Linked DNA regions of Alligator mississippiensis. The protein of the gene in region 2 interacts with the protein of the main gene of each other region in a pairwise test. Links are inferred from orthologs where the notes say so. Each region holds a gene or a part of one and is shown on either strand. Other genes may lie near its edges.

Evidence for each region.
Region 1: the proteins of KLC3 (region 2) and BICDL2 interact in binary tests that used the Homo sapiens proteins (3 or more experiments, as listed by UniProt). The two-hybrid records come from large-scale screens. The link is inferred for Alligator mississippiensis from reciprocal best matches to the Homo sapiens genes KLC3 and BICDL2.

Annotation. Positions count from the first base shown.
Region 1 is NC_081830.1:652,888-660,745, forward strand, and holds the start of BICDL2 (BICD family-like cargo adapter 2), read right to left. Parts: upstream 3,009-7,858; 5' UTR 1,787-3,008; coding exon 1,067-1,786; intron 850-1,066; coding exon 649-849; intron 559-648; coding exon 442-558; intron 331-441; coding exon 184-330; intron 1-183. Other genes in the region: CD2BP2 (CD2 antigen cytoplasmic tail-binding protein 2), read right to left, coding at 3,189-3,299, 5,185-5,300, 5,384-5,912, 6,165-6,322, 6,660-6,786, 6,914-6,988.
Region 2 is NC_081838.1:168,991-176,738, reverse strand, and holds the start of KLC3 (kinesin light chain 3), read right to left. Parts: upstream 3,012-7,748; 5' UTR 2,769-3,011; coding exon 2,055-2,768; intron 1,904-2,054; coding exon 1,676-1,903; intron 1,510-1,675; coding exon 1,434-1,509; intron 1,255-1,433; coding exon 1,041-1,254; intron 875-1,040; coding exon 787-874; intron 522-786; coding exon 420-521; intron 339-419; coding exon 165-338; intron 30-164; coding exon 1-29. UniProt on the Homo sapiens protein: Kinesin is a microtubule-associated force-producing protein that may play a role in organelle transport. Plays a role during spermiogenesis in the development of the sperm tail midpiece and in the normal function of spermatozoa.

The DNA of each region.
Region 1 (7,858 bases), on a different chromosome or scaffold from region 2:
GGGAGGGGGTTTCTAGGTTCCTCAAGGCCCCCAACCCTCCTGGGTGGGTGGGTTCTAGGTCCATCAAGACCTGCTGACCCCTTGGTTGCTAGCAAGGCTTTGGGGGCGTATGTTCTAGGTTCCTCAAGGAATAGGTGCCCCAGGATGGCCCTGCCATGATCCTCGTGGCCCCCCAGCCGGTACCTCGAGCTCCTTCTCGTGCAGCTCCCGGCGCAGCACGAGGCCATGGCCATGTGCTGCTTCCGCCTGCCCCTGCGCCGCCTCTGCCTCGGCCCGCAGCTCCCGCGCCTCCTGCTCCAGTGCCCCCACCCGGGCCCGCAGCGCTGCTATCTGGGGGGGAGGGCGACACGGAAAGCCCAACGAACCCAGGTGTCTGGGTCCCGCTCCGCCCGCCCCCCTCTTCCCGCAGGGGACACAGGTGCCCGGGTTGGGGGGTCTCACCTCTGCACTCAGGCTCTGGGCCGCGGCCTCCAGCTCGGCCTGGCTCCGCCCCTGCGCCCGCGTCTCCTCCCGCAGAGACGCCAGCTCCGCCCGGAGCCCCCGCTCCCGCTCCAGCGCCTGCGGGGGGCGGGGCGGGGTGGGGTGGGTTGGAACCCAGGCATCTAGGCTCCTGGCCCTCCCTCCCAACCCAGGCGTCCAGGTCCCCACCTCCTGCAGCTCCTCCGCCAGGCGCTGGTTCTGCTCTGCCCACTCCAGGGGGGCGGGGTCAAGGGCGGGGGCAGGGCTTGGCCGGCGGGGTGGGGCCTGGAGCACTGCCAGCTCCGCCTCCAGCTCGGCTGCCCGCCCCTCCCCCTCTGCCCGTGCTGCTGCCAGCGCCACCCTCAGCTCCTGGTTCTCCCGCTCCAGCCGCTGGGGGCAGGGGAGAGGTCAGGCGTCCGCGGCCCTCCAATCTCCCCCCACCCCGAGGACCCGGGCATCTGGACCCCACCCCCGTGAAGGAACCCAGGAGTCCAGGTGGAGCTGATTTACTCCCTGTGCGTCACCAGGGCCCCTCCCAGTCCCAAACTGGTCTGGCTGGGAGGGGCCCCGATCTTGGGGCGGTGGGGGGGGGGGGGGGGTCACTCACCTCCAGGGCCTGGGCGTGGTCGTGGTCCTGTGCCTCCTGCTGGCGCCGCAGCTCCTCGTTGGCCGCCAGCAGCAGCTGCCCCAGCTCTGCCGCCAGCGCCAGGTCCCGTTCCACCCGTGCGAGCCGTGGCCCTCCCCCTGGCTCCCCCCCTGGCGCCCCCCCCTCCTCCCCATCCTCCCACAAGGCCATGGTAGGGGGTGCCCAGACGCCCGGGGTCCTTCCCGGACTTTGGAGGGGGGCCGGGGCCAGGTGCCTGGGTTCTACCTGGCTGAGGGGGAGAGGGAGGGAGGCTGTAGGGTGCCCGGACCCCTGGGTTCCTTCCCTGACCAATGGGGAGGGGATTGGGGGGGGGGGTAGGACACCTGGGTTCCTTCCGGGGGGGGGGGGGGGGTAGGGGACCCAGATGCCTGGGCTCTTCGGACTGGGAGGGGGGGGGGTTTGAAGCTTGGGGTTTGCCCCTGGCTGATAGGGGAGGGGGCAGCTGGGGGGGTGAGATACGGGGGGCGGGGGGCTTAGCTGAGCTGGACGCGTGGCTTCCCTGCAGCAGCTGCGGTGGAGGGAGGCTGTTGACTTCCCGATTCCAACCCCAGGTGCGGAGGGGGCAGGGCCACCGCCAAGCCCCACCCCCTGCACACCTGAGCCACTCCAAACCCCAGCTCCAGCCGCTGGGAACAGCAAATCCTGCTCCCCCTGCAGCCTCCTGACCCCCCCCCCCCCCATGGGGTCCCCAACCCCTCTCCATCACGGGAACCCATTGTGGGGTGACCAGTACTGGGGTGACACGCGATGGGAGCTATATCGGGGGGTGACAGGAAGACTCGTGATGAAGTGACACCATAGGGAACCCATGTTGGGGTGACACAGGTGGGTGGGGGCTATACTGGGGTGACACGTGGGGTGGGATCCTTTTTGAGAATGGCACAGATCTAGCTCTGGGGGACTCTAATCGGTGTGACACACGTGAGAACCCTTATGGGGGTAACAGACACACAGGGGACTGCTATTGGGGTGACACACCCAAAGGCGGGGGCCCATATTGGGGTGGCACATACCTCCCTGGGGACTGTCATTTGTTACGCACCGCTACCAACTATTATTGGGGTATGAGATATGCAGGGGACCCCTACTGGGGTGCCACCCAAAAGGGGAGACCATACTGGGGTGACCCCAGTCCCCCTGGGGTGACCAGAGGACTTTTATTGGTGTAACACACCCCTGGAACCGCTACTGGGGTAGCAGACACCCACACGAACCACTATTACTGTGTCACACCCTGGAGGGGGGAGCTGCCCCACTGCACATCCCCCCCTCATGTCACACTCATATCCCCCCATGCATGTGTCACCCCAATATAGATCCCCCCGCAGAAAGCCCAGCACCTTTTGCCTCCTGTGTGTCACACAAATATGGGTCCCCTGTGGGTTGGTTGGTGTCACACCAATATGCTCCCAGCCCCTGAAAATCCAGCCCCTGGACACTTACTGCTATGGGCATTACCCCAGTATCAGCCTGCTGACCTGCCCCCTCCAGTGTCTCCCTAAAAGGGGTCCCCCCCACCCATGGGTCTGTCCCGTCTGTCTCTCTGGAAAGACCTCGGACACCAGCCCCATCAATGCAGGGTGCGTCACCTCAAAAACAGCCCCCCGCAATCCTCCACATACATGTGTCATGCCTATGGGGGTGCCCCCAGTGCTAGGAAGTTCCTATGATACAGCTGTCTCCCCAAATCAGGATGGCCCGTGTGTCACACCTATATAGGTCCCCCCCAACGCTATGCGTCTCCCTAAAACTAGGACCCCCACAAAGACATACGTGTGTCTCACTCACATATATATACATATATATATAAGTTCCCCCCATGTACGGTTCCTATGATGCAGCGGTCTCCCCAAAATCAAGCCCCCCTGCCCCCACGCGCGTTACACTTATATAGGTGCCCCCATGCAGCTGGCTCTAGGGAGCCTTCCCCTGCTGTGAGCGGGCAGCTAGAGGCCAGGTAGAACGGAGCGGCAGCCAGCTCTGGGGTGAAACACGACATTTTTAATCCAAACCTGTGTACACAAAGATCCCTCCCCCCAAAGTCTCCAGGCTGGGACTGCCCTGAAAATCTGGGCCTCGGGGGTCACGTATAGAGGTCAAAGTCGATGCGCTTGGAGCTGTAAAACTGCCCGCCCGGCGGGTCCAACTTCCGGCAGTAAACCCCGTCCGCGAAGTAGCCCTCGGACACCCACTCCTGCGGGGGAGAGAGAGACGAGGGGGTGAGTCGGGGGAGAGATGTGGCTGAGGCGGGGGGGCACGAGTGGAACGGCGCCATGCAGCTGGCTATGGGGCAGCGGGTGTCATGGGCTGGGCATGACAGGCACCCCAGGCTGCAGCCTGCTCTGGGGTAGGGCAGGGGGGTCACACACACGGGCACAGATCATGTGATGCACCAACATGGTTATGGGGGGACCCATATTAGAGTGACACACACGCTGACAGGATGGAAAATGGGGGTGCACGTATGGGGGAACCATGTTGAGGCAATGTGTGCACACAGAAGACTTATATAGGGGTGACACGCATGGGGCAGGACCCACCAGAACCACACACGGAGCTGGGGCGTCTCCATATAAGGGGAACTCACACACGAGGGAAATGCACGCATACAGGGGACCCATACTACCGTGACGCACACAGAGAGGGACTCGTATCAGGGAGACACACACACACAGGGACGTCGCCATATCAGGGTGATGCACGCTTGGGTGGGACCTGCACTAGAGATGCACACGTACAGGGGACCCATATTGGGGAGACACATGCAGGGGGACATGTGCAACATGCACGTGGGGAGACACACACACATGGGGGGGCCAAAGTGGGAAGACACACACACACAGGAAGATCCATATTGGGGAAACACATATGGACACACACCCATGGGGGGGGAGGGGGGGCACATCAGGGAGACACCTATGAGAGAACTGATACTGGGGAGAAATGTGTGCACGCATGCACGGTGGGAACCCATATAGAGAACACGCACATGGGGGTGGACACACACACAGGGACCCATGTCAGTAAGACACACGGACGCGCACACACACACACACATATATGGGGGGCCCTAATTGGACACACACACAGACCCATATCAGAGACAAGCACACATACACACATGGGGGGTTCTAATTGGGGGTGGGTGGACAGGCACACACACACATATATGGGGGCCCTAATTGGGGACACACACATGCGTGTGGGGAGGGGACCCATCTTGGGGTCACGCTCACAAACATATGGAGGAAACCCATATTGCGGACACACCCTGGGGAGGGAGGGAGGAAGACCCCCCCCCCCACACACACACAGAGGGACCCATATCAATGAGACACAGACACACACGGCAGGGCCCAAAGTGAGGACACCGGGGAGGGGATGATACTGGGGACACCCCCCGGGAACATAAATTGGGATGATACACAAAGGGATGCATGTAAGGGGGGGACCCACACTGAAGAGACACGGGAGGAACTGTATTGGACACACACACACACACACACACTGGGGGGACCCATATCCAAACGCACATGGGGGAGCCCACGTTGGGGGACCATTTAGGGGAAGGCACCCCCAAAGGCCCCCCCCCCCGTGTCACACTAATAAGGGTCCCCCATGTCTAGCCGCGTCACACCAATATGGCTCCCCCACCCACCACGTGCACCAATGTGGTGTTCCCCCTTGTTCCGGGCCCGTATGGTCCCTCCCATGTGTCCACCAATACAGGTCATCCCCGTGTATCACACCGACATGGGTCCCTCTCAACACACACCGCATCAACACGCATCCCCACCCGCATGACAAGCCAATGTGGGGCCCCACTACGGGTGCCGCGTCAATACGGGTCCTCCATCGCGTTCCCCACAACAGGCGCCTCATCAATGGAGGTGCCCCCCACTAGCATGGCTTCCCCTCACACGTCACATCAACACGGCCCCCCACACGTGTGCAACACCAGTGCGGTCCTCCCCGCCCTGTATGCTGCCAGCATGGGCCCCCCGGCCTGTCACATGCAGCGGGCGGCTGTGGGGCGCGGCCGCCAGGATGCGGCTGAGTCTGGGGCGGAGCCATCCCACCTGCATCTGGCTGCTGCTGAAGGGCCCGTAGAGCTCCGCCCCCGCCGTGTTCTCCCACTTGTACTCCCACAGCACCTCGTCCAGCGCCGCCTCCGCCACGGCCACGGCCCCGCCCCCTGCGGGAGGAGGGCACAGCTCAGCCCCGCCCTCTCACAGGCAACGCCCCCTGCCCCGCCCCGCCCCGCCCCGCCAGGCTCACCAGACTCCTGGGTTCGAAGAGCCGCCTCATCCACCTCCTCAGCAAACATGTCGAGGGTGGGGCCAGTGGGCGTGGCCTGGGCAGAGGGCGGGGCCAAGGCCCGGAGGCGGAGGGCCAGGCGCTCCCGCGTCTCCTGGTAGACGCCGTAGTGGCCCCGTGCCACCATGAGGTCGGCCAATCCCGAGAGCCGCTCCAGCCGGCCCCGCCTCTCGACCTCCTCGGGCGGCTCTGGCTCCGGCTCTGGCTCCGGTGCTGGCTCCACCTCTGCCTGCCGGCCCCGCCCCCGCCCGCGGCCCCGCCCGCGGCCCCGCCCCCGCCCCCTGGGCCGGGCCCCGCCCCCGCCCAAGCGCTGGATGGCCCGAGCCACCGTCTCCCCCGGCCCCACCAGCTCCACCAGCCCCTCCAGCGCCGCCTGGGGGTCTGGGAGGGGCGGGGATTCCCGGCCGGGCTCCGTCCCCTCCGCTTCGGGGCTGCCCCCTCCCTGCTGGGACTGCCCCCGGCGGCGGGCGGGCAGCGGCTTGACAGTCACCTGCGGGGGAGGGGAGGGGAGGGTCAGGGCCCAGCGCAGCCCGCGACCTCCCTCCTACCTTCCCACCCCCTCTCCCCGGGCTCCCCATCTTCCATCCCAGTCTGTCCCAGTTCCTCCCGGTACCCTACAAAGCCCCCTCCTCCCACCCCAGTGTCTCCCAGTGTCCCTCTCCTCCCATCCCAGTTCTCCCCAATGCCTCCCAGTGCCGTTGCGTTGCCCCGCAGTGTCTCCCACTCCTATGCCAGGCCTCACCCAGTCGAGCGAGTCGAGCCAGGCGTCTGGGGGCCCGTCGTCGCCGCGGGGGAAGTAGTTGCCGGCGGCGTCGAAGTGGCCCTCGGCCAGCTCCTCCCGCAGGTTGAAGGGCGTGAAGCGCACCCCCTCCTCCTCCAGCACCGAGCCCGGCTCCTGGCCTGCGTGACGGGCGGCTTCAGGCTCCGCCCACCCGCCAGCCCACCCAATACCCCCACGTCTGTGATAGACAGCATCCAGCGCCGCTGGTAAGCCCCGCCCACAGGATAACCATCCCAGGCCCCGCCCACAGCCACGAAGACCCACCCACTGCACCTGCGGTCCTTAGTAAGGGGCCGCCAGACTAGGCTCCGCCCACCCACCGGTGACGGACAGCCTTCACAACAGGTCCCGCCCCCAGCTACCAAGAGGCGAGGAGCCTCTGGCTGCTGGTTGCGGCCTACCAGTGCAGGCCCCGCCCCCTGACCCCGCAAGCCCCGCCCCTTGACCCCCACTCACCCTCCACGTCCTCCGGGGCCAAGATCCCGCCCCCGGCAGCTTCTTCATCCTCGTCCTCCTCGTCGCTGTCCAATGAGTGCTTCCCCTTGAACCGGCTCCCGGGGCCGCCGGGCTCCGCCTCCTGCACCTATGTGCGGTTAAGGGGCGTGGTCATCGTCAAGCTCCGCCCCCTTCCTCCAGGACTTCACCCCACCTTGAGTACGAGGTGACGCAGCCCCAGGCTCCCAGAGCCCCCCCCCCCCCCCCGCACTCACCCCACGCTTCTTGGGCAGCCCCCCCAGGTCGTCGTCGTCGTCCGGGTCCTCGAACGTCACCTTCCGCTTGGACATGGCGGCCCAGAGCCCTGGGGGCAGGAATGGGGGTGAGGGGCGGCCCCAACCCCCTCCCCCGGGGGGGGGGGGGGGCAGTCCCTTGCTTCCCCCAGCCCTCTCCCTTCTTGGTCCTGTCCGCCCCACGCACAGGTCAGGGCGAACGCGAGGCTGCCGGGAAGCCTCCCCGCCAGGGGGTGCCCCGCCACCCGCTCAACCCAGCCCGGAGGGTGCCAGGGCCTCCAAAGACCCCCCGAGCCCCTAAATGCCCCGGAAACACCCCCAAAGGCCCCTCCCGCGCGCCGCCGCGCACATATGCAAATGAGCGCCCCCAACATTCCAAGCGCCCCCCCCCCACAAAGGAGCCCCGCGCACCCGGGACTCCGCACTCAGCCTGCACTTCCGGGTCGCCCAGCCCCTGACCCCGGAAGTGACCTCAAGCCTCGTCGTCGGACCAGCCCCCTGCTTTTTTCTTTTTTTCATTTCTCACCAGTGAATTTACTGTTTCAGGGATTTAAACAGATTTACTGTTCGAAAACACTAAAAAAAGCCCACAACTTATTTATGGGCGACTTCCGGGTGTGAATCCCCGGATGTGACGTCACACGCTCAGGCCGGCCTCTTTTTATTGGTTTCGTCACCCGCGTGAATTATCTTTACTTGCTGGGATTTAAACCCGGTCTTGGAGGGGTTCCTGCCCCCGGCCAAGTATATATTAAAGGGGGAATACGACTTTCGGGTGCGGGCCGGAACTGACGTCAAGCGAAATTCGCCCTGCCCCTTTTCTTTAATTCCGCCCCCCATTTCTTTTTTTTACCTTATTATTATTTCGAAATTTAAGTTTTTGATTTTTAGGAAGAGACTTGGAAAAAATATCGGGAGGAAGCAGCT
Region 2 (7,748 bases):
TACTTGCCCTGCTTCAGGTATGAGGAGGCCTGTGGGAGGGGCGAAGAGGGCAGGGCACAGTGAGGGGGGCAAAACTGCCCCCTTAACCCTCTGCATGCCAGAGCCATCCCCTCCCCCCCCCACCATTAACCCATCTGCACCGGTGCCCCCCGAAGCCCAGGCACCAGGTTGTTCTTGGTCTTGGCCACGCTGGGGTCACGGGGGCCGAGTCGGGCCTGGTAGATGCGCAGGGCACGGGCGTAGTACTGCTCCACTGCTGCGAACTTGCCCTGGTTCTGGCACAGCAGCGCCAGGTTGTTGAGCTGCTTGGCCACATCAGGGTGGTCAGTGCCCAGGACCTGCAGCACGGAGTGGGGGGAAGAGTCAGGCTCTGCCCTGCATCGCGCGGGGGAGTGGGGGCACAGGTTGGAGGGCAGCACCTTCTCACGGATCTCCAGTGCCCGCTGGCACAGCGGCTCAGCCTCCTTGTACCGGCCACGCTTGCCGTACAGCACTGCCAGGTTGTTCAGCGTGGCAGCCACCTGTGAGGGAGAGGGGGCTCAGAGCCCAGCTCTGTGCCCACCCCCCCCCACCCCATCTACGCAGCCCCATGCAGGGTGGGGGCAGGAGCCAGTGGGGGGGGGGGGGAGAGCTACTCCAGTCCCATGGGGAGGGGGCAGGGCCAAGGGACCTCCCCTTGGCACATGCTGGTGCCCAGCCCTGGCCTGCCTCCCTGGGGCCGGACTTGGGGGTGTGGGTCAGGCCCTGAAGCCCCTCACAGGGAACCCCTTCCCCTGCCCCGCTCACGGCTGGGTGCTCGGCGCCCAGGGTCTGCTCCCGGATGTCCAGCGCATCATTCAGCAGCTCCGTGGCCTCCTTGTACTTGTTCTGGTCCCTGGCAGACGGGCAGAGCTGTGTCCCAGGGCGTGCTGGCTGGGGTCCCGCGTGCCCAGAGGTGGCCAGTTGGGATCCCGTGTGCCCCAGGCAGGGACTGGCCAGGGTCCCATGTGCCCCGGGAAGGGGCCAGCCAGGGTCCCACATGCTAGCTGGGGGGGCCTCACCGGTAGACGAGGGCCAGGATGTTAAGCATGGTGGCCACGTCGGGGTGGTTGTGGCCTGAGCTCTTCTCCAGGTCCTCCAGTGCCTGCTTGCAGAGAGGCACAGCCACCTCGTAGCGACCCTGGGCTGCGTACTGGATCACCAGGTTGTGCAGTGTCCGCAGCCGCGCCGGGATCTCGTAACCACCTGGCTGGGCTGCGTTCCCCGCCACACCATCTTGGGGGGTGACAGGCATCAGCTGGGGGCAGTTGCTCCCGGCCCCCCCCAGCCAGCAGCCAAGGGCAGATCTGGTGCTGGGGCGGGGGCAGGATGGATGGGGAGCCCTACCCCCCCCAACACTGTCCCCCGCAACACTGCCCCCAGCTTAAGCCCCCGCGCCAGCCGCCCGCACACACCCGGCCGCGTTTCCTCATCGCCTGTGAAGAGCCCGCTTAGCCCGTCATCACGCTCTGGTGCCTCGTCCTTCTCCAGCTGGGGGCACAGTGGGGCCATGAAGCAGCGGGGACCTCCCTATGCACCTGCCCCATAGGGCTGCTCTGTGTCCCTGAGCCAGGCCCTGTGCTCCAGCACTGGGACAGGGAGGTCAGGTTCTAGCCTGTGTGGGGTTCGGGGCATGGGCAGGTCCCAGTGCTCTCACCAGCTCGTCACGGCCCTCGTACTGCTTGAGCTGGTTCAGGAACTCGAGGTGCCGCTTCTCCTCCTCCAGCTGGGCCACGGCCTCCTGGCTCTGCTGCAGGCGCTGCTGGGTGCCCGCCAGCTCCTCCCACAGCCACTGGTTCTCCTGGCCCAGCCGCTTGGCCTGAGCCCGCAGCTTCTGCTTCTCTGCCTCCAGCGCCCCGACATGGGACGACAGTGCCAGCAGGAGCTGTGAGGACAGGGGTCAGTGGGGTCGGCTGTGCCCCCTCCCGCCAGCTCCTACCCCCTCCCCAGCTCTGACTCCCCCAAGCTCCAGGCTGGGGCTGAAGCAACCCCAAGGCCCCCCCAGCTCCTACCCCTGTGCCCTGGCAGCCCCACACCTGCGCCTCCCCGAGCCCCAGCTCGATGCCCTCCAAGATCCTGCAGACGAGCTCGTGCTTCTCCTCCAGTAGCTCCAGGGCCCAGTCCCCGGCAGACGGGGGTTCCAGCTCCGTCCCAGGCGCGGCATCGGGACAGCAGTGCAGGCTGCCCTGCAGCTGCAGCAGGATGGCACAGTTCTCACTGCGCAGTGCTTCCAGCCCCTTCACCACCTGCCGTGTGCTGGCCACGATGTCGTCCGCTGTTGGCCGGCCCCCAGTGCCCTCACCCAGCCCTGCCACCACCGACATGGTGTCGCCTGCCTGCCCACCTGCTGAAGCAACACAGTCCTCAGCACCAGGCCAAGGGGCAGGTGGGGGTAGCAGGGCAGGGACACGAAGGCGCTGGCAAGTCCCTGTGGGTGGGCACAGGCGGGGCGTGGGAGCTCCATGGCCCGGGCGGCACCAGACACAGCCCCAGCCAGAGGCACAGATGGGCCCCAGCTTGCCCTGCGCAGGGTGGAGCACGGGAACTGGTCCTGTCAGCTGGTGCCCAGGGAGTGCGTCTGCACTCGCTGGCCCACAGCACACATGTGAGCAAGCCCACGCGTGCACAGCTGCAGGCACGGAGCAAAGCACCGCTTGCCCCCAGACGGGGGTCCCCAGAGCCTGGCCACGGCGTGCAGCCTGGGCACGGGGGCCAAGCCATGGGGCCTGCCCAGGACCCAGCCAGGGCATCAGTGCACCTGTGCACCATCCTGCCACAGCACGGAGCCCTGCATGGGGCCACAGCCCATAGCCCGGGCACGGGTACGGGGGCCCATGACCCTGCCAGGCGCTGGGGCATGGCCCTGCAGCCTGGGCACGGAGCCTACCCCGCGGGTCCCTGCCAGGGCAGCGCTGCACCGGCACGGACCTGCCCCGGGGCACAGCCCGGGCACGGGGGCCCGAGCCTCGGGGCCCGCCCGGGACCAGCCATGACCCCCGCACACACCTGCCCGGCCGCGCCGCGCCGCGCTACAGCATCCCCGCCGCCCCGCTCACCTGCCGCTGGGGGCGGTCCCACAATGCACCGCGCCCCGCCCCCCGGGGCCGTCGTGGGCGGGGCACGCCTCGCCCAGCCCCCGCCGCCCTCCACCCCCCGGATCGGGGCCGGCCCCGCCCAGCGCTGGACAGCGGCCGCGGCCGTGCGGACCCTGCGGAGCGGGGCTGAACCCGGCGGCCCCCGGTCCGCCCCGCCCCGCCCCGCCGGGGTCCCGCAGCCCCCGTCCCGGGTCGGCCCTCCCGCTTCTGCATCTCCGTCGGGGGAGCGGGGCCGCGCCTGGCAGCCGGGCCTCGGGGTAGGCTCCTACGCCCGCCGGTGGCATCCCCTGAAGGGCCCCGATCCTCCCTCCGCCCCCGAATCTGCAGCCGCGGCCCAGGCTCTTGCAAGCGGGGCCCTGCCCGGTGCCTCAGTTTCCCTGGAAGCAGGCCCCTGGCAGTGGCTCCCGCCAGCCCTTCCATGCGGGCACGGAGCCGCCCTGGGCCCGGAAGGCGGGAGCCGCGGGGCCAGAGCCGAGCCGAGCCGAGCAGGCCGGGCCCCCGAGCCAGGTTCCCCGAGCGCCCGGCCCGGCCCGGCCCGGCCCGGCCCGGCCCGGCCCGGGAGAGGTGACACCGAGTCCCGCAGCGCCGCCGCCTCTGCACGCCCCGCCCCTCCGGGGCCGCCAGGGGGCAGCGCCGAGCAGCCGGGACCGCAGGAGTGTGCTCATGCATGGTGGCGTGTGTGCGCGCACGTGTGTATGTTGTCAGGTATCCGGATTGTAGCCCTATTGGTCTGAAGGAAAACGCAGTCGGGACTCGTAGTAGAGATAGTATCTTGTATTAGACCAACTACGTTTTTGCAACAAAAGAAGTTCTTTAATTGCAAGTTTTCAGGCGCAAACACCCTTGATGAGGCATTGGAGAAAAGATTGTGAAAGTTCTCCTGGGTCGAAATGAAAGTTCATATTTCATAGGATTTCACAGAGGAGCCAATAGATGGACTACTCCTCGCATGTGTGTTTGCTTGTGTATGCATTTGTCTTTGGGTTTGTGTGTTTGCTTGTGTATGCATTTGTCTTTGGGTTTGTGTGTTTGCATGTGTGCCTGTTTGCACGTATCTGTGTGTGCGCTTTCTTGTGAGTGCATGTGTGCTTGTGTGTGTGAGTGTGCATGTGTATGAGTGCATGTGCACATGGTTGTGCCCCCCCCCCCCCCACTCAGCACTGCCTTAGGCCACTCCCAGGCCCTCCTGTGCCCCCTGCAGAGAGGCAGCCCCCTTTAGCCCCCTCCTCCCCAGGCTCAGCTGTCCCCAGACCCAGCAGGGCCTGGCAGTCTGAAAGCCCTTGCAGGACAGCACAGCTGCCCCAGCTCAGCACAGACAGTGGCTGCACCAGGGCAGAGCTGCCTCTGGCTGTTGGGCTCAGCCCCACTCCCTGTGGCAGCTGGAGATGCCCCTAGGCTCCTCAGGGCCCTTCCCTCCCTGGGACCAGGCTTTGGCATTGCTGGGCTGGCTGGGGGCACAGGTGGCACAATGGCTCCCATGGGTCCAGCTGAGGAGAACAGAGAACTGGGCCAGCACTGGCAGGGCTTGGCCCAGTGGGGACAGGCCATAATTACCGAGCACAGCGGTAATCACAGGCACCAGCTGGGGCTGCGGTAATTAGTGCTTGCTCTGTGCCTCCCAGGGCCTGCATTGGACCTTCAGGGTGGGAGAGCCAGCAGCAGGGGAAGGGGCAGGTCCTGAGAACAGGGGCAGCAGCTGCTGGTGGGGCTGGGCTGGGGAGTCAGGGCAGGTGTCCCAGGGCAGCCCAGGGGAAGCTGGGAGGAGACACCTCCTCCTCCACCTCCTGCTGAAGTGCCCAGGCCATGGCCCAACGCTGGAGCTGCTGTGGCCCAGCTGGGTGCAGGCAGGCACTGAGCGAGGGGTCGGGCGCCAGGATGGGCCTCTTGGCGCCGTGGGCCTGTTCAGGCCAGGCCAGCAGTGCAGATACAGGCACTGTGGGAAACCCGACCTGCCTGCCCAGCTGGCTCTAAAAATACTGGCTCACCCGCCCTCCCCCCCCCCCCCCGACCGGCCCAGCCTGCTGGGATTGAATTCTCATGATCCAGCGGATCAGCTCAGAGGTCATTGCACAGGGCACCCCTACCAGGACTGCCTGGGGTGGGGGGTTCCCCCCAGGCCCAGCACCAGCTCCCCCAGCCTTGCGATGCCCCAGGGCCCAGCACAGCTGAGGGGGCAGGGTGGAGGTATGTGGGCAGGTCACTGCAGGCTCTTGCCATGGGCATGTGCATGTGCAGGCATGTGCATGAAGAAATGCAGAGCCAATTTCTGCCATCACACTTGCCTCAGTTTCCATGAGCAGACAGTGTAGGAGGGGAACATGGTGAACACCCCCTGGCCTGGAAGTGGGGTGGGGGGAGGGGTGATGATGGCAATATGGGTCCCTTGAAGGCTGGTGCAGCAGGGGGTTCAACATAGATCTGGGCACAGGCTGCTGTGACCTCCCCACCCCAACGTGTTTGGCAGGTGGGGAGTGGGCACAGGGCCAAGAGCACCTGGGCCCTGGGGCATAGAATGATGGGGCTGCAGGCCTTGCCCCACAATGCCCCCTTCCCCTGTGGTGCCTCTAGTCCCCCAGGGAGATCCTGGTTGGCCCCCAGTCAGGTGGGTCCTGCTATTTTGAGCCAGTGCCGAGCTGGTTTAGTGACTGTCGTACATGCTGCAGCCTATTCCTGGAGCTCAGCCCTTGCCCTGGGGCTGGAAGACCCCCAGATAGCCTGCTGGATTAGCTTGCCCACAGCTGCCCTGAGCACTCCTGGAGGAGCATGGGCTAGTGCCTGCCAGGCTGTGCTGTGGCTGCCCCAGGCTGGGGGGCTCCAACTTTCAGCAGGGTGCCAGGTGGTCCCATGTCCCACTCCCCCCCCCACACACACACACATCCGGCGGGGTCTCAGCACCTCCGGGGGACAGCAGGACCCAGCTCCAACCAGCTGGCTCCTGCCCTGCTGCTAATTTTGGCCCTGCCTGTGGCCACCTGCCTGTGCCGTGATATTTCCAGCCAAGATCACGCCTGGCCTTGTGATGCCCACGGCAAGGTGACCTCCAGACAGGGGCGCCCAGCTGGGGGTGCTTTGGGCCTGTGCCCGAGGCAGGGGCTGGCTGAGGTGGTGCCAGGTCCTGGCCAGGGGCAGGTGCCAGCCAGCCCGCACCCCACTCCCCTCCACACACACACATGCACATACTGTGGCTCTTCTCCAAGGCCTTGACTGGCATGGCCTGCTCCCCGGGTGCCGGGACATGCTACACACTGCATGTAGCCCCTGCGTACTCCACATGTGGGCCCTACAGATGTGCACAAGACAGGGGACACCAGTGGACGCAGCTGGGTGCCTGGGCAGGGTGGGAGCAGTAGGATTTAGGTCCTCAGTGTGTCAGGGTCACAGCCCCTTCCAGGCCTTACATGCAGGCCCCTGGATACATGTACAAACCCCAGCTTGTGCTTGTGCACCCCCCCAGCCAGTGGAGCCTGGCAGGAGCCCCAGCCTGAGCAGGGAGATCCCCCCAGAGCTGCCTGCAGGGCTGGGCTGAAACCTGATCTCCCGGCCCAGCATACGCAGGCGGGGCCCGCACCCCTCTGCACAGCTGCTGTCCCTGCACCTGCTGCCTCCACCCCCGTCCACCCCAGGGGCCCTTGAGCAGATCCCTGGGCAAGATCCAGTCCTGTTCCAGCCCCCAGAGCCAGCAGGGAGCTGGAGTGAGGCAGGGTGCCCCGTGGGCACTGCCAGCCCAGCCACAGTCCCAGGTGCCCGCAGGAAGGGCACACAGCAGGCAATCAATTGCCCAGAGGGGGGCACATGGGGGTCTTAGCAGTGCCCCTGGGACCAGCCCCTTCTGGGGAGCCTGCAGGGTCCGGCTCAGCCTGACCCCCAGCATTCCTGTCTCCCAGCCGTGGTGCCAGGGGCCAGAGCTCAGGTTACGCTGATGTGTCAAACTCCGGTGTTTGGCACAGCCCCGAGCCTGCGCCCATCCCATGCACTGGGCACTCTCCGGGCAAGGCCTCAGCCCTGCACCCCCAGCACAGAGCCCCTGCTGCCCCCCTGTCCTCGGTCTACTCCAGTGCCCACTGTGACCTCATCCCTTAACGCTTCTTCCCCGAGCCCCACTCCCTGCCAGGGGTCATTGTGCCTTTTGCACCTGGGAGCTGCCCAAGCCACTGCTCCCCCAAGGGCACTGGGGATGTCCCGACACCAACCAGGCCCTGAGGCCCGAGACCAGTCTCAGCACCCTCCCAGGCTGATGCCCACCACCAGACTCTGTGGGGTGGACGTGAGCTGGGCCCCAGGACTGTTCCCCCCCATAAATCATGGTGCCCTGCAGCTGCTGGCCCCTTCCTGCTCTGGGGTTGGATCCCTGGAAACACGATCTCAGCTGCTCTGCTCTGGTGCCAGCAAGGGCCCGGACAGGCTGGGTTGCTTGGGTGGGGGCCAGGGCACTGTGAGCCAGCACCGCATTGCTGCCTATATAAAGTGCTGGGCCGTCGGCCATGGGGGCGAGGGGCGGGTGGCTGGGGGGGTGAGGGGGAGCAGCGTCATGTGCTCCCATCCCAGCCAGGCCTTGCTCAGCACCCTCAGGCTGGTACCTGAGGGGATGGGCTGGTGCCAGCACTGGGGACCGCCCCCTGGCAGGGCAGGGCAGGG